Oreochromis niloticus: one gene and its partner. The protein of the gene in region 2 interacts with the protein of the main gene of each other region in a pairwise test. Links are inferred from orthologs where the notes say so. Each region holds a gene or a part of one and is shown on either strand. Other genes may lie near its edges.

Region 1 (12,307 bases), on a different chromosome or scaffold from region 2:
TTTTTCCTCTCTTCATTTCATAGCTGTACATCTGTTCCCCCCTGGGTTATGGAAAACCCTCCTCCTCGCCCACTGGCCAGCTCCCCTGCAGGTCTCTCTTCATCCCAGTATCCCTCTGGACTTGGAATTTCCGTGACCACCAGGATCGGCGCAACTGTGGAAAGTGGTTGCCACAGCGGCAGCATGTTTTGCAGCATTCTGTGAATACTGGCAAGAACTTACAAACCAATATGATAGCCAGGGTCAGGAGGTCAGCATCTGGTTGCTCCTTAACTGCTGTAAACCATACACGTGGGGCACTGACTGTCAAAATAAGGGTTCGGTTAATTGTCCAAGTAGCTGGAGACCGCAACTGAAACATTAAAGGAGCCATCCACCCCCATTTTTATTAAGATGGAAGAAGACTTTGAAAATCTGAAATTAGACTTTTGTACTTCTATGATTAAAATGCTACTGTGCTCATAAAACGTGGGCTATTGAAAACCGAAGCTGGAGTACAAGACATTCATACACCTTTGGAATCTGTTTGAGACTAGAGCTTTGCCTAGTTTATCATTAGCTCATTTACTGCAGACTTGTTTGGTAGTCTTATTTTTGCTTATAGGGACTCGCTGGTTAGGAAGTGCACATTTCTAAATCCTAGCAGGAGTCAAAGGCTTCAGAAATGCTGGCTTTGACAGTGGGTCAAAGTAAAGCTGTGCCTTGGTTGACTATTTAAGGGATGGCTGTAGCGAGGGAAGGTGTTTTCATAGCGTGAGGGCGTTTATGCAACTAAGCCAAAACTAAGATTCTGTCTCTGTCCTGTCTGTTGGCGGGTCTCTTCTTGCGTAATGTCCTTTGTGGTTTTTAAAACTTAATGCACTTCGCTTTTTGAGACATCTCATTATTTCAGATCCTGTCAACATGCTGCAGAGAAAACTAAACAGATATCTGCATATGATTATGCAAAAAAAAAAAAAACTGTTGGTAGTCTAAGCTTTATAGTTCCATTTGTAGTCCACCTGCACTTAAGTTCGACCAACCAATCACATTTGATGGTTTGCATTTGCCGAAATATAATCTCACAACCATCCACTATTGTCTGATGACAGTTTAGCTTTTTTAACAGCTTATTTAATTTGTCTGCATTTGTAAAAAAAAAAAAAAAAAAAAAAAAAAAGCCAAAAAAAAGAGACCAGCAGACAGAAGAGGAAGTCCGTTATCAAGATATCCTGTCCACACACTCAGAAGGGGAAGATATGTAGTGTGCAATATGTGATGTCTACAAACGTGCCTATACGTTCCTGCTAGATGTTCTGTCATCTAGAATTTGTTTACAGCTCTTTAGTCTTTTTTTTTTTATCTTTAAATGTAAGCTTGTCACGTTCGACTTGAAGTTCACTTTATTTGTCTACAAAAGCATTAATAAACAAGCCTTGTTTAATGCAGCCATTTGTTTGATATTCATTTCTTTCTGTCCAGTTCTCGGTTCTCCTTTGCGTCCTCAGTGCATCTTTTTGCGTTTCCGTCTCTCAGTGAAGTGATCGTATTTGATCAGAGGCAGAACGAGGGCGGCCAGTCTGCTGTCATCTTGTAGTTCAATGTTATCACCCTTGCCTCGGGCTGGTTTCACCAAGGTCAGTCTCATTGACTTTGCGACTTCAGTCATCCTATAGGAGAGCACAAGAATCACAATAGTTTACAGTTTAAACAAAAACTACAGAGTAAAGAAGGAGGATAGTAGTATGTGTGGTTAAGTCCACATTATTGACTTCATTAATGATTTTACTCTTTATTTAAACAATGTATGAAATGTAAGAAATAATTTTTAAAGGCTTCCTTTTTATTCCCCTGCTTACCTTGCCTCAGTGATTCCCAGGTCACGATGCAGTAATGTGAGGTCAGCTGTCATGTTACCCATATGCAGCAGCAGAGCTAAGCAGTATGCTGCTAGTTTGACCCGCATTGACGATGACACCATGTTCTGGATTCTAAACAGAAAAGTTAAAGTAAAGAAAGTGCATCTTTTGAAAAGAATCAGTGCAGCAACAAATACACTGTTGTGGTCAGATGTTTACATAAGCTCATCATGGCCATGAATGTCTGCCATAAATAATTTGGCGATTTTTTTTTTTTTTTTTTTTTTTTTTTCATTATTTATTTGAACTGTTTTCCAGAGTGAAATGATAGTAAAGCATGCACCTTTAATAACTTATAGTTAAACAAAAATTAGGTGCACAAGTTTAAATTTATTTGGGATTTTCTGAAATCCACATAGGTCAAATGTATGCATACAGATTCAAATACATACACACACACACACACATCCCCACTAATATTTGGTTAATGTCCCTTAGTAAGTTGTACTAATATGAGATTTTTTTTGGCAGCCCTCAAGAAGCTTCTGGTGTAATTCTGGCTGAATATTTGACCACTCTTTTTGGTAGAATTGGTAAAGTTCATTTAACTTTGTTAGTTGCCTGGCTTTAAAGCACACTGAACAAATTTAAACAGGGTGAGTTGGGGGTTTTTTTGTTTTTTTGAAAGGCAATTCCAGAGGCTTAATGTTAGCCTGCTTTATTCATTCTAAAACCAGTTTTAATGTGTGTTTGGGGCTTCTTTGTTGGTTGGCACCCTCTCAGTCCATGGCAATGAAAAAGGTGCTTCACTGTGGACAGTGATGCTGGTGTTCCAGCGGTTTCCAGTTCATGGCAGGCTTAAGCCATGGTGGTTTCTGGGTTGTTCCTGACTGTCCTAGCCCACCTTCTCTCCTATGAGGGTGACATTTTTGGAAAAGTGATGACATATCAGCTGTTTAAACTGATGATGTTGGAATCTGTAGTTCTTTCGAGGGTGTCCAAGAAACTACAGTTCTCTTTCTTAGATCTTCAATTAGTTTCTTGGACTTTTGTATTATTCTGAGTATTATTCAATCCAGTTGGTGCTATCAAACAAACCCTTCTTATGCTGCAAAGAGAAACTAAAAGATGTAGTCAATCATGACCACTATCGAGAAGCTAATAGGCCTTAACTTTGTTAAAATACATTGTAGAACCTTTAACAACACTTACTAAATTATTTAAGTGAGTGTATCTAGGTGTATGCTGTACAATCATTCCACGCTGAGAAAAGAACAGTTAAAAGAAGTAACTGGAAAAAGTTGCATTTCCTGGGAAAATGCAGTGTGAATGGCGTGTAGTGGAATCTGCTGAAAACAGCAGAAGAAGCAGAACTATCTGCTGAAAAGAGTTGTAGAAGCTGAAGTGCTTGCTGAATTTGAAAGGGTACAGTGAAGAGTGTCAAGAAAGCTGAGTGCATGCAAGCGGGGGAACATGTGTGGCAACCGCCACAGGTAGGATTTGAACCTTCGCCACCGGATCTCATAGCAGCTGCTCATCCCACTGAGCTAAACCAGTTCTAGTGCCAATCAGAGATATAATGAGAAAAACAATGTGCACTGTGCAGAAGAAGCTGAACTTTGTGCTGAAAAGAGGTGAAGAAACTGAAATTTGTGCTTAAAAGAGGTGAAGAAGCTGAACTTTCTGCTGAAAAGAGGCGAAGAAGCTGAATGTTCAGCAAAAAAGAGATGAAAAAAATGAAATTTGTGCTGAAGAGGTGAAGACACTGAAAACTGTTTTGAAAAGAGTTAAAACAGTTGAACTGTTTACTGAATAAAATGCTGCCATAAGCGGGATTTGACCCGGCCCTCCTGGTCTGAGAACGGCTGCTCATCTCACTGAGCCAAAACATGGCTCAGCCCGGCAAGCAAAACTGGTGATCACACTGATAATGTGGTCCCATTCAGCAAAATGGGCCAAAAAATGGCATAAAAAGCTTAATATCTCAAAAAGTATAAAAGTTATGAGCACCAAAAGATATAGCTGGCATTAGCAGAAAGAGCAGAACAGTTGGAAATTTGAATGGTGAAAATCAGATGAAAACTGAGGGAGTAATTAACCAGCAAAGGTCGGAGCAACTAGAATAAGGTAGAGGAATAAAGTTTAAAGAGAAACAGGATCTCAATAGTGTGAATGCCTCACACAATTAAAAGCCCAAAATTACCACGACATTCATGCTCATGATGAGTGTATGTAAACTTCTTAGAACTGTATATATTATTTAGCTTCCCTGTCTCGGTTTAGCATTTGGTAAATTTTTGAATTACTAATGAAATTATTAATTTAGTGAAACAAAATCAAATTCCAGAAACATTTTTCTTCATTAGCTACATGTGTTTAACCACCATACCTGCCATTGTTGAAGGTCTCCACGGTGAACGTTTTAAAGAGTTTGCCCTGGATGATGCGAGGGCAGCCTTCCTCTTGCCCAACTGTACATGCAAACATGAATTACTACAACCCTCTAATGGTGAAAGTTTGTATACCACTTTCCACATCATAATACTAACAAAATTCACTCACACTTGCGGGTGATGTTCCTCTCCCGAGCCAGTTTGAGGAGCAGAGAGAGGTAGAAAGCACAGCGTGCTGTTTTGTCTCGGCTTTCACTTTCAGTTGGCAGATTCTCTAGATGCTTCACAATACTCAGGCACCTTTAGGTTAAAGATAAAAAGCACAAGATCAACCTCAAGTGCAAGAACACATTAATAAAATGTCTCTGAAGGTTTTGTTGCCCCTACCTTCCATCATCTTTCATCTTCTTCAGCTCTTCGGGGGTGAGTGCTGCCATTTTGGCACCACCCTGCTCCAAAGCACCAAACTCCACTGGGCTCAAGACTGCAGATATTCGGTTAAGGGTCACCTGAACAAAGTCTGGTACAGCTCTAGATAAAAACCTGCAAACACATGCATACGCTAGTACCCCATCTTGTAATCTGGGATTCAAATGGATTCCTTGCCTTCCTATTTCCATAAACACATTCCTCCTCCAGCACAGGAATAAAAGATACGCTCATCAAATGGATAGACGTCCTCTCGTTTGTCTGCGTTTGCATTGCAGGGGGGAAGGTGCAGAGCCAGGTCTCCTTGCGACTCTGCGTCAGCCACTTCTTGCTGCAAAGCTGTGCAGAGAGGGAAGGTTAAGAAAAAAAAACATGGAAAGAGAAACATTCTTTCGGATTTCTCCGAAGAGAGGCATCCACTGTGCAGCTTACCTTCCAGACCCTTCTCGCCAATCACAGTGTTGGCAGCCTTTGCCACTGCTTGCTGAAGGGTTTCACTGCCCACCTGATTCAGCCTGCGAGAGCTCAGAGCTCTCTTCTGCTTGTTGGTACCAAAGGCCTCAATCAATAAGTCAACCTGAAAGGGAAACATTAAAGGTAATAACAGGATATTCACATCACATTACACATAATTAAGCACAGATGTCTTTTAATGGACAGACAGCAGCAGCAAATGCACCTTTTCTCTGTAGGTCTGAGTAGTGTCCTGGGGTTTTGCACTGTCTGTTGTCTCTCCTGGTGACAAAAGTCATAAAAAGCGACTCTCAGAAGGCACACAAAGCATTCCTTCCACAGCTTCTGGTCTTTGTGGGCAGTTAAAAATAGCAACAGATATGTTATAGCTCTCTTACCTGGTATAACTGGTTGCATGTTGAACAGCTGAGCTTCGTGCACCTCCATCGTCATGGTCTGCTTGTTCAGCACGCCCACATAATATCTAAAGAGATGCCAAACATCCTCCTTATCAATCTCCTCCTCGGTGACCATAACATGCCAAAATGTGCAGCAAAGACCTACTTGCAAAGATTATTGCACTTCATGGACCCCACTCCAAAGTTCTGCCCCACATAGGACAGTCTGTCTGACTCGGCAACCTAAATAAAATAAACCAGGAAGAACACTGAGAGTATACCAACACAGCCCGGAGAGTGCAGACACACTCCTCATCTTCCTCACCAGTATCCGCCTGGTCTTTTTCCTGGGGTTACTTTCCTCCGTGTTCTTCAACATGCTGAAATCCAGCTTGTCTGCATTTTGGACGCTGCCGTTAGAAAAGCGGACTGTGGGATTGAGACAGAAACACCGGGAATTATACGTGATCAAACCTCAATGACCGATGTGACTGTACAGTGACACACGTGAGAGCCTCGGACACAACAACACGGTATAGTGCCCACGTGTGCACCTAAATGCTTTAAAAATATAAACTCTACAAAGCCCAACCCAGAGTCATGTGTCATCATCATCATCCCCGTGAAAAATTCTACATAATAAACAAATGAGGAATACTCACCGACGACAGCTTTATCGGCTTCTCTCTCCTCTCCGCAGCACACAAACGAGCAGGAGGCGGCCATGACTGTTGTCATGATGAGTTTTCATGCAGGGCAAGAGTTTACTCCTCTGTACTTCCGTGTTCGCTTCGCCAAGCCGCTGCTCTAATTTCTCCAGTTTTGTTGTGGATACTTTACCTGGTGCATTTCTTTATTTTGCCTGTACTGTTCCTTCTGCCATGTCTTTGTTCACTGGATTATAGGATTATCCTTTATACGGGCTTTAAAAAAATAAAAATGCCAAAGCATTTACCATCTCGATGCTGTTTATAATCTTTGGCTAACTGGTTGTGTGTGGGGATGCAGCAGCGACACCTTGTGGTGAAACCGTAAAGCTGCAGCTTTTCACCTCGGGTGAGGTCATGGACGCGAAAAAGAGGTACAGCGCCGCCCCGTGAGTCTGGTTGGAAAAACCGTCTGTCGGCGGGGGGAAATATTAGAAAACACAACACAGCATGACGCTACCGCTTACCAATTGATAGAAGGCATTAATATTATTCTAACGGTTATTCTGGCGCCGTGGCTGTGTGCTCAGCCTGGCAGGCGCTGGAGATCAACGGACACCGCGGCACCGTCCATCGCGGCCAGCTTTACGTTCCCACGGCCAAAACCAAACGAGCCGCTTCGGGGTCAAACCGTCAGGAAGTCGACCGCAGGGGGACGCGAGAGGTAGCAGCGGAAATGTTAGCTATCCACAGCTCGGCTTGAGGGGACATTTTGTGGGCCAGTCTCGGTGACCGCATGCCGCTGCTTTTACTCTAGCTAACGGGCTATTTGCTGGGCTGCAGCCAGCTAACTTTAGCTAATCGGGGCCCTGTTCTCCCTCTCGATACCTGCATTTTCCGGATTTTTCAAGGTAACCTAAAGTACTGCTGGCTCTCTGCTCTGACTTACAGTACCAGCAGACTGCTTCTTTTGTGCCATTTTACCGAGTCGCATCCCATGCTATTGTGTTCCAGTGCAGTTGTGACGTTAAATGTGTGTAAAGACGATGGGGTCCAATAAAGTTAGACCTGTTCGTCAATATATGACTTTATAGCAAGAAGGCAAAGGCAGTGGAAAACGCAACATTTGGTGCACAGTAATCAGTAAGCGAAATAAAATGACAGTACCACGGCATCCTGGCTGTTAGCCAGTAAATACAAAAACTGATCCAACTTCTCCCCCATCACCATTCAGACATCGTAGACTGCATCCACAGGTACTCAGAAATGTAGAAATACACATACTTGTTTCCAAAAATAATGAAGTGCTGCATTCAGACTCCGAAATACAGTGAAAATGAGCTATTTGGAGGACATTTCTATCAGCTGTTTTGTGCAAAGCTAACTTAACTTCATTAATAATATAAGAATAAAACAATATTATGGGAGTTCAAACATTAATTCAGCCCAAATTCAGATGCAAACTGATGCAAATGAGCATAATCGTGGGTTTAAGTTTGACTCGAGTAGGTGTGAGATCTCTAGTTTTGTAGTGCAGCATCACTTGGAAGTAATTTTTATTGTAAGCACAATGAAATTTTCTTTGTTTTCGGGCTGGGATCAGCTGACCTGAGTTGCTGCTCTTGTTGGCTGTCAGGGCAGATTTCTGACACCCCTACACACTATAAAGGTGGAATTCAGTGAATTAATCTCCTTAGTATAACTTTAAATTGACATGTTTCCTTGTTACAGTGACCATAAACGCCACATCTGTAAACTTCTCCACAGTACCGCAGATTAACTGGTTTACCCTGCCATACACTGCCTTTTCATGCAACCTTGGAATAGCAAAAAGTTAGTATACACTTAACATAAGCGACACATCAGGTATAGATCTGGTATCAGTTCACAAGTGTCTAAAATGAATGAGGATGTTATGTTTCAGCTTTAACTTCCCAGTCGGTTAAATGTCACGGAGCAGTCCTTACCTTTTAAAATCTAACCTCTCTCCATCCTCTCCTGTCTTACTTCGATAAATAAACTTTTTTTTTTTAACATTTTGAAGTGTGACAAGTGTTGAAGTGACACATATTGTGATTTATCACTTTGTCCCCAATTGTTTTATCCAGTAAGATAACTTCATCTTACTTAAGTTTTTTATTCTTTTTTTAATGCATAATGGATTGTCAAGCAAGCAAGCTGCAGTCAGTGTGCTACTGAATGGGGTCAAGTTGGCAACTACATACAGTCTGTTTCTTGTAATACAGCAATTAACTTAGAACTATTGGTTTGGGCATTATGATGATAAGGGTAAGAGTACGTAGGGGCAGTAAACTGAATTTCCCAATTTGTGGAAGAACAGTGAAGTTTGAAAAGCTCCAGGTCGCTGCTGATTGGTCAGATGCAGTGACATCAGTAGATCACCTGATCTTTGCTAACTGACTGTGGTTCTGCATAACTCACCTACCCTCTGCTCCTCTGTCTGCAGGGCCATGGATTTCCCAGGCCATTTTGAGCAGATCTTCCAGCAGCTGAACTATCAGCGTGTCCATGGCCAGCTTTGCGACTGTGTCATCGTGGTAGGCAGCCGACACTTTAAAGCCCACCGCTCCGTGCTGGCGGCCTGCAGCACCCACTTCAGAGCGCTGTTCACTGTCGCAGAGGGAGATGCTAGCATGAACATGATCCAGCTGGACAGCGAGGTTAGAAAGAAAACGCTGTCAAAAAAGCGAAAAAAGTGTTTTTAGTCATTCTAATGGTGATTGAAACCACTGTGTGCGTTCTGCAGGTGGTGACGGCCGAGGCCTTTGCCGCTCTCGTGGACATGATGTACACGTCGACACTGATGCTCGGGGAGAGCAATGTCATGGATGTTCTCCTCGCAGCTTCGCATCTGCACCTCAACAATGTGGTCAAGGCTTGCAAACACTACCTGACAACACGCACGCTGCCCATGTCCCCCTCATCCGACAGAGCTGCCCATCACCACCCACAGCAGGAGCAGCAGAGGCACAGACAGCAGCAGCATCAGCAAGTAGCTGATTTAGCAGTGAACCCGACATTAGCAGCTAATGCTAACCTTGCAGCAAATGCTGCCACTTCAAAGCTGCAGCGCTCCTTCTTACTGCAGCAGCTGGGGCTCAGCTTGGTGAGCTCTGCTTTGGGTGGGATGGAAGACGACCGGGCGGGAAATGTAGTTGGCAGTAGGGTGGTTGACCAGAGGGCCTCCTTCCCAATCCGACGCTTCCACAAACGAAAGCCCTCTCTGGCGTTGGGGCTTTCAGAGGAGAGACCCAGACAGAGACAGCGTCCTTCGGCGCCTAACCTCGGGTTGTTAGGAGAAGAAGGGGTGAACGCAGAGCGGGAGGATGGAGCACTTCTCTCCCCAGATTCCCACAAGATGGGGGACGAATCTAAACTTGACCCTGCGATCACTGGGTTAGCAGCTGCTTCCCAAGATGACCCTCAGATGCCGAGTCAGTCAGATAGTGGACGCTGCGAGGAGGAGAACTTGGGGAGAATTCAAGGAGTAAACAAAGAAGAGGACATGGATGACCAGGATCAGCAGGACAGCAGAGCAGGGGTGAAAATAAAATCAGGAACAGAGGAGGAGGAGAACGAAGAAGAGGAGCAGAAGGTAAAGCTACAGATTTGTCTCTTCAGTGGGCAGGAATATTTCCATAGATAAAACTCTCCAGACCTCTCAGGCTTGTCTGTATGAAGTAAACAAACTTAACAGAAATTGTTGGTTTGAATGTCATTAATGCAACCAGGGGTTAAGGGATTGGACAGAAGAGGGAAGTCATAAGATCGGGTGTAGCAATGCAGCAGGGGAAAATGACTCACTTAGAAAAGAGTCACACATAATTTCTGTTCTGAGGATTTGATTTCCTTGCGGATGGACTGTGACAGCTGACCTGTGCTGGCTCTGAGGTTCACTGGTCTTTGTGGGTTTTGCTTGCTGCAATTTACGAGATATTAACAGATGTTACATGAGCTGTCGTGGCCACTCTCCAACCTTTGGGCGGTGTAATGTCTAAAGGTGGAGATTGGCAGGTGAAGGGTAGTAAAGAATGTCATCAACTTAAATTCAAACTAATGACTATTACCCTGAAGCCTTGATTACATTTTCCGCATCTACTTGGATCCAACAGACATAAATTTGACCAGCGTTTTTGTGGCCTCGTTAACTAATGTGCAGATAATTGACATTACAGTCCATGAACTACACACACACCCCAGGCAGAAGAGTTCAAGCAGACTTCAAAGAAGTATAAACAGGAGGGACAACTCGGCCATCGAGTTTCTAGCTGTCATAACCAGTCCTAACAGTGATCGTGAACACCCATCCTGCACTTCATTACTGTAAACTGTACCACAGCACTGCAGAGTACCTACTTTAGCCTGAAAAGACTGTCCAGTATAGATTTTAAATAACCCCAAATTGTCATTTAACAGTATGGAATGATTAAATAAGTCAAATAAGGACAGATTATAACAATAATTCCAAGTTTTGAATATCTATATCAAGTGTCAATTGTAAGGTTGTCACGGTACTAGAATTCCACACTACTGATACCAATCATCAGAACACTACTCGAAGCTCCATACTATTGTCGATACCACCCACCCACACGCACACACACACACACACACACACACACACACACACACTCTGCAGCAGTAGCAGTAATGGCGAAGAAGCCATTTCTTGCAAAAGTTAACTTGTTAATTTTCCACTAAGTATTTCCAATTATAGGTTAGAGTTAGAAAAAAGTATTTATGATTAACTTTAGAGGTTTTATTCGTTTTACAACTTATATAGAGGAATTTATCACCATGGCTTAATACGCCACCCTGGACCTGCAAATTACTGTTACAGCTGCTAAGACGACACACGTCAACAAAGTAGCATCGCACTGTGACAGAAGAATGGGGAAATGGTTGGATGTTAACTCTTTATTTCGAAATGAAATGCTAGAAAAAATACAACGTCTTGGTAAGGCAAAGCAGGCTTGTTCAAGAGATTATTTTACAGCATCTGATGTTACCCATTCGGGAGCTGGCTCTGAGGTTTCTGTGAGAAGTGTCCCCACAATAAAATTCTGTCCAACTGTGAGACCTTTAGGCAGTGTTGTGAATATTAATTCTTACATTAAAATTTGAGGTCTTATCTCCCTTGGCCTTAGATGAAACATTTCTTTCCTTTTCTTGCTTTTCTTAGGTGGTTGTTAAACGTGAGCCGCTAAGTTCTCCCGAGCCAGCTGATGAAATTAGCGACGTCACATCGCAGGCCGAAGGCAGTGATCCTCCTGAGCCTGGGTGCCAGGAGGACGAAGAGAAGGTGGAGCTGAGCCCAGAGAGCAGCGACCGCAGCTTCACTTCTGAACCCCAGCCCAGCTCCGACTCTCTTCTCCAGCCCAGCTCCCAGCTCATCCTCAAGAGCAGTATAGGAGGAGGAGGCGCGAACGGAGGTGGTTTTGGACTGAGTGGCAAACCTGGGTTCAGCATTTCCAGCTTCCTCAGCCAAAAGGATTTTGCGACTGGCAGCTCAGGGATGGTTGCCGGAGAGGACGACCTTCCGAACACAACAACTGGGGATGCAGTAGCACATCGCTTTCTGCTGAGGCAGGAAGCTGCTGGCACTTCTGGCTCTGCTTCTTCCTCTCTTTTGCAATCAGGCCCACTCAGTGGTGAGAGTAGAAGCAGTTTTGGAGATAATCTGCAAGCCGATTCTCTGTTCCTCCGCCCCCTGCATGATGGTTTAGGAAACCCCAGAGGAAATGGGGGAAATTCAAGAGGAGGACGTGGAGGAGTGGATCCTTTTGATTTGGAATTCCAGCGCTCAAGTTTGGGGCTTCATTCACTGGGACGGCCCTCAAGAGAGACAGGAGGAGTCAGCGGCACAGGTCTGAGTTATCCAGGCTACAGACGCATTGCTCCAAAAATGACCACTGGCATGGGAGGAGAAGAGGCAGTAGGGGGGATTCTTCAGGATGCTGCCTCCTCTTCATCAAGTCTACCGGGTCCCCTGCTCCTCAATGAGAACGGAGGGTATGAGATGAGTGGCAACAGGCCCACCTCCCTCCCCCCTCAGCTCACCCGGGCCTCAGCAGACGTTCTGTCCAAGTGCAAAAAGGCTCTCTCAGAGCACAATGTCCTAGTGGTTG
Region 2 (11,414 bases):
CATGGACAGAGCGTTGCTCGTTTCCTTTAAACGCCCCTCCTCCCCGACTGAACAGGCAGAGTGCTCTGTCATCCTCCTCCAAAAGCCCCTCATTAGAAAATCTGCCGAGCAGACAAAGCTACTTGAGACAGCACAATGGTGACTCCCCACATGGTGATTTAAATGAGCATAAAGGGAATCCAGGTCATGCATTGCTTTTTTGGATCCTCTCCGTAATTGTAACTTGTCCACCCAGCCACCCACCTATAAAAAACATGTCTGTTTGGTCTAAATCACGTTTTAAACCTTTAGGTAATATTATTTACACTCCCACAACATGGATGCACATCACATGGCTGTTCAACACATTTTCTCAATGATAAAAACACACAAATCTAATAAATAATTGTTTAGATAAAATGAAAACTAGAAAAAGGGGCAGACAGAGCATGGAGAAAAGAACACCCATGTCTCATTCAGCATGCTATATAAGTTATATTCATAACAATGTTAAAAGTGACTTTGAGTCTATGAAAAAAATGCTTCTTTAACTGTTTGTCCCATGATGTCATCCTCTATTGCTCATCACTGTCTTCCTGGAGTGGCTGCAGCTGATTAGACTCAGAATAAGCCTCTCAGAGTTTTGCTGGGTATGAATAAGCTTCTATGGTAACTGACGAGGTCTCGTTTAATGATGCTGCCATTACTAAAGAAGTCCGTCCTGCTCGTCTCTTTACCGCAACACCACCATTAAATCATCAGGAGTCCTGCTGGAGTCAGACTGTGAAAGCAGATGTGTATAAATTACTTCACTTTAAATCGTCACGGGTCAGGGATTTTCACTCTGATACAATCATTAGTTTATTCCTTTCTTGTGTAGAGGATTTTCTTTATGTTTGATTAAAATAATGCAGAAAAAATGACATGAAGCAAAAAAAAAAAAGATTAAAAATTAAAATCTAAAAAAGAAAAAAGGAAAGAAAAAGTCAGGAGATTATCTGTGTCATAGTGATTCATCCTCCTGGAAACATGAATGTACACTTTTGTAGCAATTCAACCTACAGTTGTTCAGATTTGTCACTTTCAACCAAAATGATGACCAGGATTTTTTACCTACAGCATTTTTTATTCATCATTCAACTGCCCAAGTTCTTCGTTTATAGGTCCAGGTGTTTATCCTGTGGCTGAACCCCCATGGATTATTCATCCCCTTTGGATTGTTTTCTTATTTCACTCATCACTGTCACTCCTTGTTAAATCTCAAGACTAATGACACATGGCAGCACATTAACGATTTCTGCCCATCACAACTATAAGAGCAGCAGGATTTCCTGAAAATTACCCTGAACCCCAAACTCCTCAACTTTCATTTCCTCCTGCTTTTTCTTTTTCTTTTTTTTGTCATCACAGTCAGATCCAGTGTATAAGTGCATTTCAGAGCAGCTGGGTTTGAAGTGCCTTGCTCAAGGTCATGCTGACAGTTAATGCTGAGGCAGTCGACAGCATGTCTCCTTTACTTTATGCACTCAGATTTCGAAGCTTACCAGGGGATTTAAACTGATGGCTTTCCAGTTTCAAGTCTATAGTCAAGTCTGTTACTGTGACTCAGCAAAACACTGTGAACGATTTATGAATAGGAAGGTTATAGATTAGTTAAATGTGCTGAACTGAGAAGTGCACTGTCATCATTGTTGCATCACTGCAAGACATCAATCTACAATAAAGGTGAAGAGAGGACAAATGGGATCAATAATATAAGAAGGATGTTTTTGCTTGATTAGTGTGCCATCAGATGGGTGAAAATTTTGACTCGAGATCATCTCAGTAATTACTTTGCTGTAGTGTGTTACACCAGATGGAGTCATGCGGTGTCAGTGAATACTGCATTTCTTCTAAATGAAAGAGAAATCCACTAACAGTAAGATCTGAGTGTAGTTTATGTCGTTGCTTGATGGCAGATTTATTTCTGGACACTACACTGTTTCTGTTCTGCATTCTGCATTCGCCCTCAATCTGTAGCCCCCCTGTGTTTTCTGGATACCCACCTGTCTCTCAGTGACTTGACCACTTTGGGCCTGGTCTGCCAGCTTGTGGACATCTGTTTACTTCCTCCTCCATCAGTCGTCATGGTTGCAAACCCCCCTACAATCACCACCACGCACCCCCACCCTTGCCATCGGCCCTTCTCCGCCCTTCTCTCGTGTTTCCCCCAGACACCAGCTGTGAACCACTTATGCTTATCCTGCAGTCCACCTCGTTCAGCCTTGTGATAAGGACAGCAAGGACAGTAGTGCTTCTGGCCAGTGTGCTTTGCTCTAAGTTTGTTGACCCAGAAATATCTAAATAAACACACTAAAATTCAGTGTGTCCATGTAGATGTATAAAAACAAATTAGGTATCGGAAATTGTACCTGTGGTTAAATAGTAAAGAGATAGGCAAATATAGTCTTGAATTCTTCCTTGTTATTTGTTTACCACACTGGTGACCAACTAGAATGACCTTCAGAACTTTCTAGTTGCCATCCATATATCCTTTTTTTTATGGATGCCATTTCATCTTTTTTTTTTATTGTGTTGGGAGGTTTCCATCTCCATTTCTCTCCAGGAAAAACACTGACAAAATATGAGCAGACAACAAGAGAGAAGCTGTCAGATGTATTCAATGTGAAACACTTCCTCTTAACACTGGATTTAGTCATGTCACAGCAGCTTAAAACTCTGCGTTATTTTATAGCACTTAACACAACGCAGTGAAAAGGGAACCAAAGTGATTTGATTGTCAAAAAACAAATAACTGGATGGGATTTTCAATTAGAATTTCCCAATCAGCTAGTAAGTTATAGCATATGACCTATTAGGAGTAAAGGGAGAACAGAATGGGCCCAGGTATTGAACCCTGAGGGACGCCACATGAGGTGATGGCTGAAGATGACACACTGAAATAAAAATAATTCAAGGCAGGAGTGGTTTCTCCCACCCACTGATTTAACTTGTGAATTATTTAGCTTCAATACTGGAATCAAGTGTTAGATTAAGACGATGGAGCAGCCTTGTGAGTCAGACTCTAAATGAAGAAACCAACTGGAATTTTTCCAACATAGTATAACTTTGGGGCCCATTTTTAAAAAATAATATTCAAGTGTCAGACAGCCAGACAGACATTGATTTAATAGCCAAAAAATGGAATTATGTGACCAGATTTGGAAAGTCGCTGAGTACATGTTCACTTTTGGCATGTGGCTCTGTGTGACACAGCACCCAGCTGAGAGCCAAAAAACCCAAATCTGCTTTCTCCCCATATGCCCACAACCGAATAAACCACCTCCTGCACTGCCGCTTTCTCCTCTATCCTCTTTGTCAGACTGCAGGCAGTGGCCCACAGCCCTTGGGGAGCTCACTGAGGGAGGTGTGGCGCAGCCAGTGATCAGAGTGAATTAGAGTTATGTGTGACATGCAAAGGAGAGGCTCCAGAATGTGACAACAGCTGAGTTTTAAAGTGAAGCCTTTTCCGCCTGAGGGGAGAGGAATAGACGACAAAGACACCGAAGCCTGCTGTGAGAAGAGTCAACTTCTTTTGTTGGCTCTTTAAAAAAACAGAGACCTGTTATTCATTTGTCTTTTCATTTAACACAGTGGGGTACTTAACAATGTTTTTTTGCATCAATTTTAACATGGCTGCCACAGTATAAAAAAAGCCATCCTTATTTCCAGGCCTAATTAACATCCTGATGCCTTGAGCAGTTAAATTCCCACATGCAAACATGCACATAAATGTCTAATCGAGTCAGAATCTACATAAAAAGGCTGAAATCTGAATCTACAAAATTTGACAGTACTCTATGTAAAACTGATTATAACTCACTTTCTATCTACATCCAAAATCCAGTGCAAGTTAGACTGAAAGAACACACTCAGTTGCCTTTTAAAGTATAAAATGGAATAAAATAACCCAAGATTTGATAACTCGTGAGCAGAACAGGGTTTGAAAAACATAACTTTGGGACATTTGGGCTCATAAAGAAGAAAATATGGTGTAGGAGCGCTCAGACTGATATTTAGTGAACCTTGAGGTGTTAAAAATTTAGTGCTGTTCAGGCATTATTGCAAAAATGCCATTCGTGGAACTCTATACGCTTGTTTTGTGGCCTGCTTTTGAGCCCCAGAAGTCATTTCTGGTCCATAAATTTCAGAACAATGGTGCACATTTGTTATGTGAAGTTTGGCTTGAAATTACATTTATTCCTGTTGGGAGTATTATGTGACAACTCTAAAGCGCTGCAGCTCACCTTTCCCCTGTTTATGGTGTTAGCTATGAAGCCTCTACTAGGCCAACAGAGTTTTCAGTGATATTGATACGGCACTAACATAACTGGCACAAAGATTTGTAAAAAAAAAAATCATAGCAAGTTTCATAGCCACAAGGGTTAAAACTGTTTACTTGCCAACTAATATCATTGTGAAACAGAGTGGCTTTGTCCACTGTTCACCCCCCCCCCCAAAAAAGAAAAAACTTAAAGGAAGTCTTTTTAATCGGAGTATAGCATCAATTCAGTTAAACTTGTAGGATACTAATCTGATCAGTGAAGTAGCAAATAGTAGCAAAAAGGGTTGTTAATCAGTTTCAGCTGCTTTGGTTGGAATCAAGGGGCAACAATGAGACAACCTCCAAAACAGGAATAGTTTTACAGCTGGAGGGCACTGACATTTTTCTCTCCTCATCTTTTCTGATTGATTTTTTACTAGTTTTGCATTTGGTTAAGGTGGGTGTGTCACTGCTGATAGCATGAGGCGGAACCTGGACCCTACAGAGATTGCACAGGTAATTCAACTCCTCCAGGATGGCACATCAATACGTGCCAGAATGTGTGCTGTGTCTCCAGGCACAGTCTGAAGAACATGGAGACAGACAGTTTTTGTAGGAGAGCTGGACAGGGCCAGAGAAGGTCCTTAACCCATCATCAACAGGACTGGGATCTGCTCCTTTGTGCAAGGAGGAATAGGATGAACATTGCCAGTTCTACAAAATGACCTCAAGAAGGCCGCTAGTGTGAATGTCCTGACCAAACAATCAGAAACAGACTACACGAGGGTGGCCTGAGAGGCTGACTCTAGTGTTCCCTGTGCTCACTGCCCAGAATACCAGAATTGGCAGGTCCACCACTGGTGTTGTGTATTTTTCACGGATGAGCTGGTTCACCCTGAGCACATGTGACAAAAGTGAAAGGGTCTAGAGAAGCTGTGGAGAACGCTATGTCACCTGTAACATCGTTCAGCATGACCGGTTTGGTGGTGGTCAATGATGGTCTGGGGATGCATATCCATAGAGCGATGCACATAACTCTAAAGGCTAGGCATCAGCATCCTGACTGCAATTAAGCATCAGGATGAAATCCTTGGACCTATTTTCAGACTTTACAATGGTGCAGTCAGTTCTGGGTTTCTCCTGGTCCATAAAAATGCCGGCCCTCAAGTGGTGAGAGTATCCAGGCAGTTTCTAGAGGAGGAAGGAAATGACACCACTGACTGGTTTCCATGCTCGCCTGACCTAAATCCAATAGAACACCTCCGGGACGTCATGGTTAGTTTGCCAACAGGTTGCACCTTAGAGCTCAGTGATGCCCTGATCCAGATCCACGAGGAGATCAATCAGGATACCATTAATTGTCAACTTAGGAGCATGATGTTACCAGGCATGCGTACATGACAATGTCAGGAAGGCCGTACAAACTCCTGAGTACCATTTTTGAGTTGTTGCAATGACATTTCTGCAATATGGACTAGCCTTCTGCTCTGTGCAATGTCTTTGAAATCAGCCCTCTGTAGGTTGATCATTTTCATTTCCATCAAACCATGTGGCATCCTTTCATTCCTAACACATTACCAAGTACACATCACTACAGATATACAGCATGATTTTTCCCACTGAGATCAGATGCAGTTTCAAAGTGTTCCTTTAATTTTAATTTTTTTAATTTTTTTGTTGTCGAGCAGCATAGTAACTGCTTTCTGCAGCATGAGTTCCTCTTTGTGTGACATCTTTAAAACGACAGCATTTCTGTGTAACATTACATCGTACAAACTGCCTCATAAGCAAAATCAAACTTTTGTTCCATTAGGGTCAACGTACCCATTATCAGGTATTTTATTTTTCCTGTTACCACTAAGTGCAAACACGCAACTGAAAAGTAGAATTCAAGTCAGAAAACAATCACCTTCCATTGAAGCTGTGGGAAATGTTCACAATGCACATGTTCTGCAAGAAAGCAAGCTGGCTGAATGCAAGCCGCCCTTTTGAACATGGGCAGACGTGATGTTTAATCAACTTCTGGGATACTAATATACAGTTCACTGACAATGAAATCCTCCTTTAGGAGAAGACACACACACAAAAAAGCCAAATACAATCACCGCGAGTTAGTCAAGCTTTTATCTGCTCCTAACAAAGAGCTCCACCAGACCAAAGGCATCAGACTGTGGTTTGTCTGAAAGGGACGCACTCGTGATGTCTTAGCTTCAGCGAGCTCTCACAGTTCACTCACAGAAAGCCACAATCTTCAAAATAAAACAAATAGCTGAAATTCTTACAGGAAAAAATAAAATAAAAAAGAATAAATGTTCTTCTCCCATCTTAACAGAAAGATCTGCCTCACACTCACACATCACATGATAAAAGCCGCTTTCATCTTTCAACCATGACTTGTAAATAATCCCCACCTTTAATTCTTGCTCATTTGCTCGTTAGGGCTACCTTTGGTGACCCTGATGGGAGCTCCACCCCAGCCCACACTGACTGGCACCTACAGTTTTTTTCCTCAGTGGGCGGGTCCACTGCTCTTTAGGACCCAGTGGCTGCTCGATTCAAGCAAGGAGTGACTCCGGCACTCAGACGGAAACAGACAAAGGCGAGGGGAGAGACGGCGTGCCGCTATCCTGCAGCATCGACTCACACTCACATCCACTCCCCCACACACTCCGCAATCAGCGACGCAGGTGAGTCCGCTACTGGGTGGGATAATCAGCAGACTTCAGTGATTTTTAAAGAAAGTATATATTACATTGCAGTGGTTTTGACTCTCAGGGGGCAACTTTGAATATCATTGTAGTATTTTATTTTTTTGCATTTTGGAAGTGATTATATCAGACTTTTTTCTTTTTAGATTTAGGCTTGAGCAGGTGGATTGTGGCGTGCGCACGCCCAACCCTCCCCTTTTATTTCAAGAAAAACTTGCATTTTAAGCTGCTGTCTCTGCCATGTGGCCACACTCCATCCATCATAAATGAAAAGAGTAGTGTCATGAAACTTTTCCTTTCATGGCTCTTATTTTTCTTTCTTTTCTCTCTCTCTCTCTCTTTTTTTTTTTTATACCTACCTTTCCGTGTGTTGGTGTGAGACATACCGCACGCAGATCAATTTTCCTGACGCGGACTGGAGAGTCATAATGTGGTGCTGGTTTGTCAGGAGTGTGGTGTGCGTGTGTGTGTGTGTGTGTGTGTGTGTGTGTGTGTGGGTGGGTGGCTCAGTCAGGAACACAGAACCAGACAAATATATCAATGACACCACACAATGATACCGCAGTGCTGCCTGATGTCCAGGTCTGCGCTTAATTTGGATGTGGGGAAAGCGCGCATATTTTAAACCAGATTTATTGATTAATAACGTCAAGTGTGTGAGCCACAAAGAGAGGTGATCTTTAAACAGTCGTGTCGAGATTAACACTAAAAAGCTGTGGGAGGATGTAGTTTCTGGACTTGAGCAGGAGAATGAGCCGGCTGCAGCAGGAGCAGCAGTGATGGTGATGTCACTCTGAAGGCAGGCACCCTGTTTGAGACAATGGACTGTCCTAGTGGTTGCTTTTCTGGGGAAGGGTCACTGCTCGCTCTGCTTATTAGTGCAGCAGATGGGCTTGAAACCTGGCCTTTGTCAGCTGAGGGGCACCCAGTAAACAGAAGTCCCTCCCCTGTCAGTGTGCTTATCATAAAACACCAGTCAGCAGATCAGCCAAAGGTTAGTATGCTTGGTGGAAAGGGGGGGGTCGACCTGCCACATAGATGGGTGGTGATTTGCCCCCCCCCCCCCCCCCCCCCCCCGTTTGTCAGTATGGTTATGCTGTAATCGCATACATCATATGTGGTACTGAAAGAGGCAGGATATTGGAGGATTATGGGCTGTGACATTGTGTCATTCACTAGTTTGTGTTTATGTTTTGACTAATTGGTTTAGACCTTCTTAACATTAGCACCAGGGCTGGATATATGCTTGCAATCAATATCACAGCACAACAGCTTGTTGTTTAAAGGTGGGGCCTCAAATTTTTATTATTTTCCAAGCAGCTTCTTCTTCTTTTTTTTTTCTTCTTCATTTTCATATAACCATATCGGGTCTACTGAAAGCAGAAAACCGTGTTTTTTGTACATCAGATGACTCGCATGTGAAGAAGGAAGTGAAAAGCTTTGTTTTAGTTTGAGAATTTTGCAAAACAATGACACTTAAAATTTCACATCCTACACACATCCACTGAAACACTCCCTGATGATTTGAAAGACCCCCGCCTCATATTACGGTGCAAGATTGACTTCCAGTGGCAGATGCCAAATGAATTCTGTCTTCAGTGACTTGAAAAATTTCAAAGTCAAATCTTGAGTTGTTAAAATGCCACTCGGAGTGGAGTTGTGTTCAAAGACCAGTGACCTTTCAGTCAATAATGACAAGGCCTGTGAAGATATCGGGGCCTGTAGAAGTGACAGAAAAGTGACACTTCACATTTGTGCTATTCGGCTCAGTCTCGTCAAATATGTTTTTAAAAAGAACAATCTCTTTTAAAGTTTAAAGTGGGGAGACATTGCTCATGGAGCGGGGCTTTAAACTTTGCACTTCCCCTTTCATGTGAATGGGTGTGGGCGTTTGATGGGTGTGTGTGTCAGTTGTTGAAAAAGTATCAGTTTGAAAGATGCCCTTCAATGAGTTTTTGTGGCTTTGGCGAGTTTATTTGTGGTCATCAGGTGGGAGGTTAACTAGCAGACTACTTCTTTTGCTATAAAACCTTGGGCAGTCAAACTCATAGAATAAGTGGTTTATTGTCCATTGGCTAAGCAGGTGCGTCATTTTCAGAATTTCTAAGAAACACGACGGGGGGATGAAGTCCTAGAAAACTTAAACTTCTGCTTCCTTTTTCTTTCAAATTATGAGCGAATCCTTAAGGAGACATGTGTCCTTAAGTGTTCTGTAGGATGTTTAATGCTTAATATACAGTATATATGTGCTAGAGCTGTAATTGAGGTCTAATATGTCTATTTGTTACAGATTATAATTTTTTTTTTAAATTCTTCACAGCTTAGTTTTAAAGTGTTGTAAATTTTCTAATGCCCTTATCTGCGATTTTATTTTAAAATTGTGCTTTCGTTTACTTTACCATTTCAGAAGTAGCTTATAAAACTAATATGCTTATAAATAGCAGTACTCTAAGTTTTCCCTGACTTGTGCGCAATAGCACTACTGCACACCTACTGTATAATTTCCTTGATTGCGTCGTTTAAATGATCTCAGATATCTAACGGGACAATATACAAGTTGACATCATCATTATTTCCAAAACCTTTTGTGTTAGTGGTTAGCTTACTGATTCATCACTTACTGATTCATCTGGCCAAGTGAGACAGCTGCACAGAGGTGTCTGTAGGCGGACTTCAGAAGAAGAGAGGGAGCTATCATATGTGCTACATGCCACATAAAGCAGTGTGGTTCTAACAGTCATGAAGTACTGCTGCACACTCATTGCATCTGGAGCATTTTAGGGTCATATTATTTTATGTGTTTAAATTCAAAGAGTCTTTATTAAAAGTCACGTGTTGCATGCATTTTTAAAATGTTAATGCATTCGTGGCAAAGATTTAGCTCGACATGCAGTATGGATTGATGACCAGCGGTTTTAGTACGTGTAGCTTTAAATGCACCGGTTTGCCGCTGCCCACGCCTCTTTCAGGAAGAATGGTGTGCCGGCTGTTGCCATGGATACCTTAGCTAAAACAAGGCAGTACCAATATGGCTGCTATGCAATTAATTTAAGTGAATGTGAGAAAGCGTCCCGTTGCTGTTGTGTCTGAGTGACTATTTTCTGTGTAAATATAACCTGCAGCTGTCTCTGAATTATTTGCATTGTTTTTTTTTTTTTCTTTTAGATATCATGATTAAATCTGAGTTTTAGCTGCACACAGTGCCAGCTTTGGAAATGCCTTATAAATGACAGCTGGTTAACATGAAGCCTTAATGGGCTCCATGTGTCATAATGATGTAATGCTCATTATGTTGTTTAACTACAAAAAAAGAAAATGATTTAAATGAGAGCAGCTTTATTGAAATAGTTGATGTGAGGACAGTCTAGGAGAGAAGAAAATGGAGGCAAACATTAGCCTGTTAGCTGTGCTCCCTGCTAACAGTGGGATAAATACAGGGGCATGAACGTTGCTACCAAGATGTCATGCATTAGTTTCTCAAATCCCATTTTGAAGCCTCAGTATTATTGTTTCCGCCTTCACCATCTTGGTTGCAAAAAATGGATGTGACAAGGAGGAGCAGATTAGATTGTGAAACTATATGGTCCTTGGCTAACGATTTGTAATTAAAAACGGACTTCATTTTTCTTTTCTTTTTTAATTTGGTATGACCCCAAATGAGTGTCTAACCCATAAATTCATAGGAAAGTGTTGATAGAGGTGAAGTCAGAAAGCTGTTTTCTCAAGTCTTTTTGCAACAACAATTATCACCTGGTGGCATTCCAGTCTGCATCGGCATATTTTTCTTTTCTTCATTTCTTATAAAACATATCCATGTTTTTATACCGTCTTTATATTGGATACATGTTTTTATACTGCATAAATATCAGGGGAATTAAAAATGGCAAATCCACTGGGTGTTAAGTTCCTCAGATGCCATGAGTGCACACATACTCCTTGTCTAAGAAGAAAACAATTAATGGGCAGTGCCAGGGCAGCACTGTACAAATTTAAGTTCAGTGACTATTGGTTTCCAGTTTTAATATTAGCGATATAATTGGCTAATCGTCTTAATCTCACTCCTGTGCCTAATCCTCACCTAGCTCTGGATTTTGGATTATTTAGACGCAGATTTATGAATAAGTCACAATCATGGAATTAAATGTTGCTCTAAGTGAAATGTCATGAATATACAACCATTAACTACCGCAGTATCTGGTGATACATTACAAGCACTTGTTTCCTTCTTTCCCTAGACTCTCTGGAGCTGGTCACCACCCCAACACATCTGTCACAACCACCATAACTTTCAGTCATCATGGAGCTAGACTTTGGACATTTTGACGAGCGAGACAAGGCCTCTCGTACCCCACGGGGCGGGCGTATGAATGGACTCCCCAGCCCTACTCACAGCGCCCACTGCAGCTTCTACCGCACACGCACTC

The links.
Region 1: the proteins of neuronal migration protein doublecortin (region 2) and zbtb5 interact in binary tests that used the Homo sapiens proteins (3 or more experiments, as listed by UniProt). The two-hybrid records come from large-scale screens. The link is inferred for Oreochromis niloticus from reciprocal best matches to the Homo sapiens genes DCX and ZBTB5.

What each region holds. Positions count from the first base shown.
Region 1 is NC_031971.2:22,561,756-22,574,062, reverse strand, and holds the start of zbtb5 (zinc finger and BTB domain-containing protein 5), read left to right. Parts: upstream 1-6,546; 5' UTR 6,547-6,575; coding exon 6,576-6,607; intron 6,608-6,932; exon of another isoform or gene 6,933-7,069; intron 7,070-8,625; coding exon 8,626-8,839; intron 8,840-8,925; coding exon 8,926-9,786; intron 9,787-11,361; coding exon 11,362-12,307. Other genes in the region: fbxo10 (F-box only protein 10), read left to right, coding at 24-204; polr1e (DNA-directed RNA polymerase I subunit RPA49), read right to left, coding at 1,484-1,649, 1,839-1,970, 4,228-4,309, 4,401-4,531, 4,619-4,715, 4,889-4,999, 5,093-5,237, 5,340-5,395 and 4 more. UniProt on the Homo sapiens protein: May be involved in transcriptional regulation.
Region 2 is NC_031975.2:12,236,833-12,248,246, forward strand, and holds the start of neuronal migration protein doublecortin, read left to right. Parts: upstream 1-6,816; 5' UTR 6,817-6,969; intron 6,970-11,225; 5' UTR 11,226-11,287; coding exon 11,288-11,414. UniProt on the Homo sapiens protein: Microtubule-associated protein required for initial steps of neuronal dispersion and cortex lamination during cerebral cortex development. May act by competing with the putative neuronal protein kinase DCLK1 in binding to a target protein.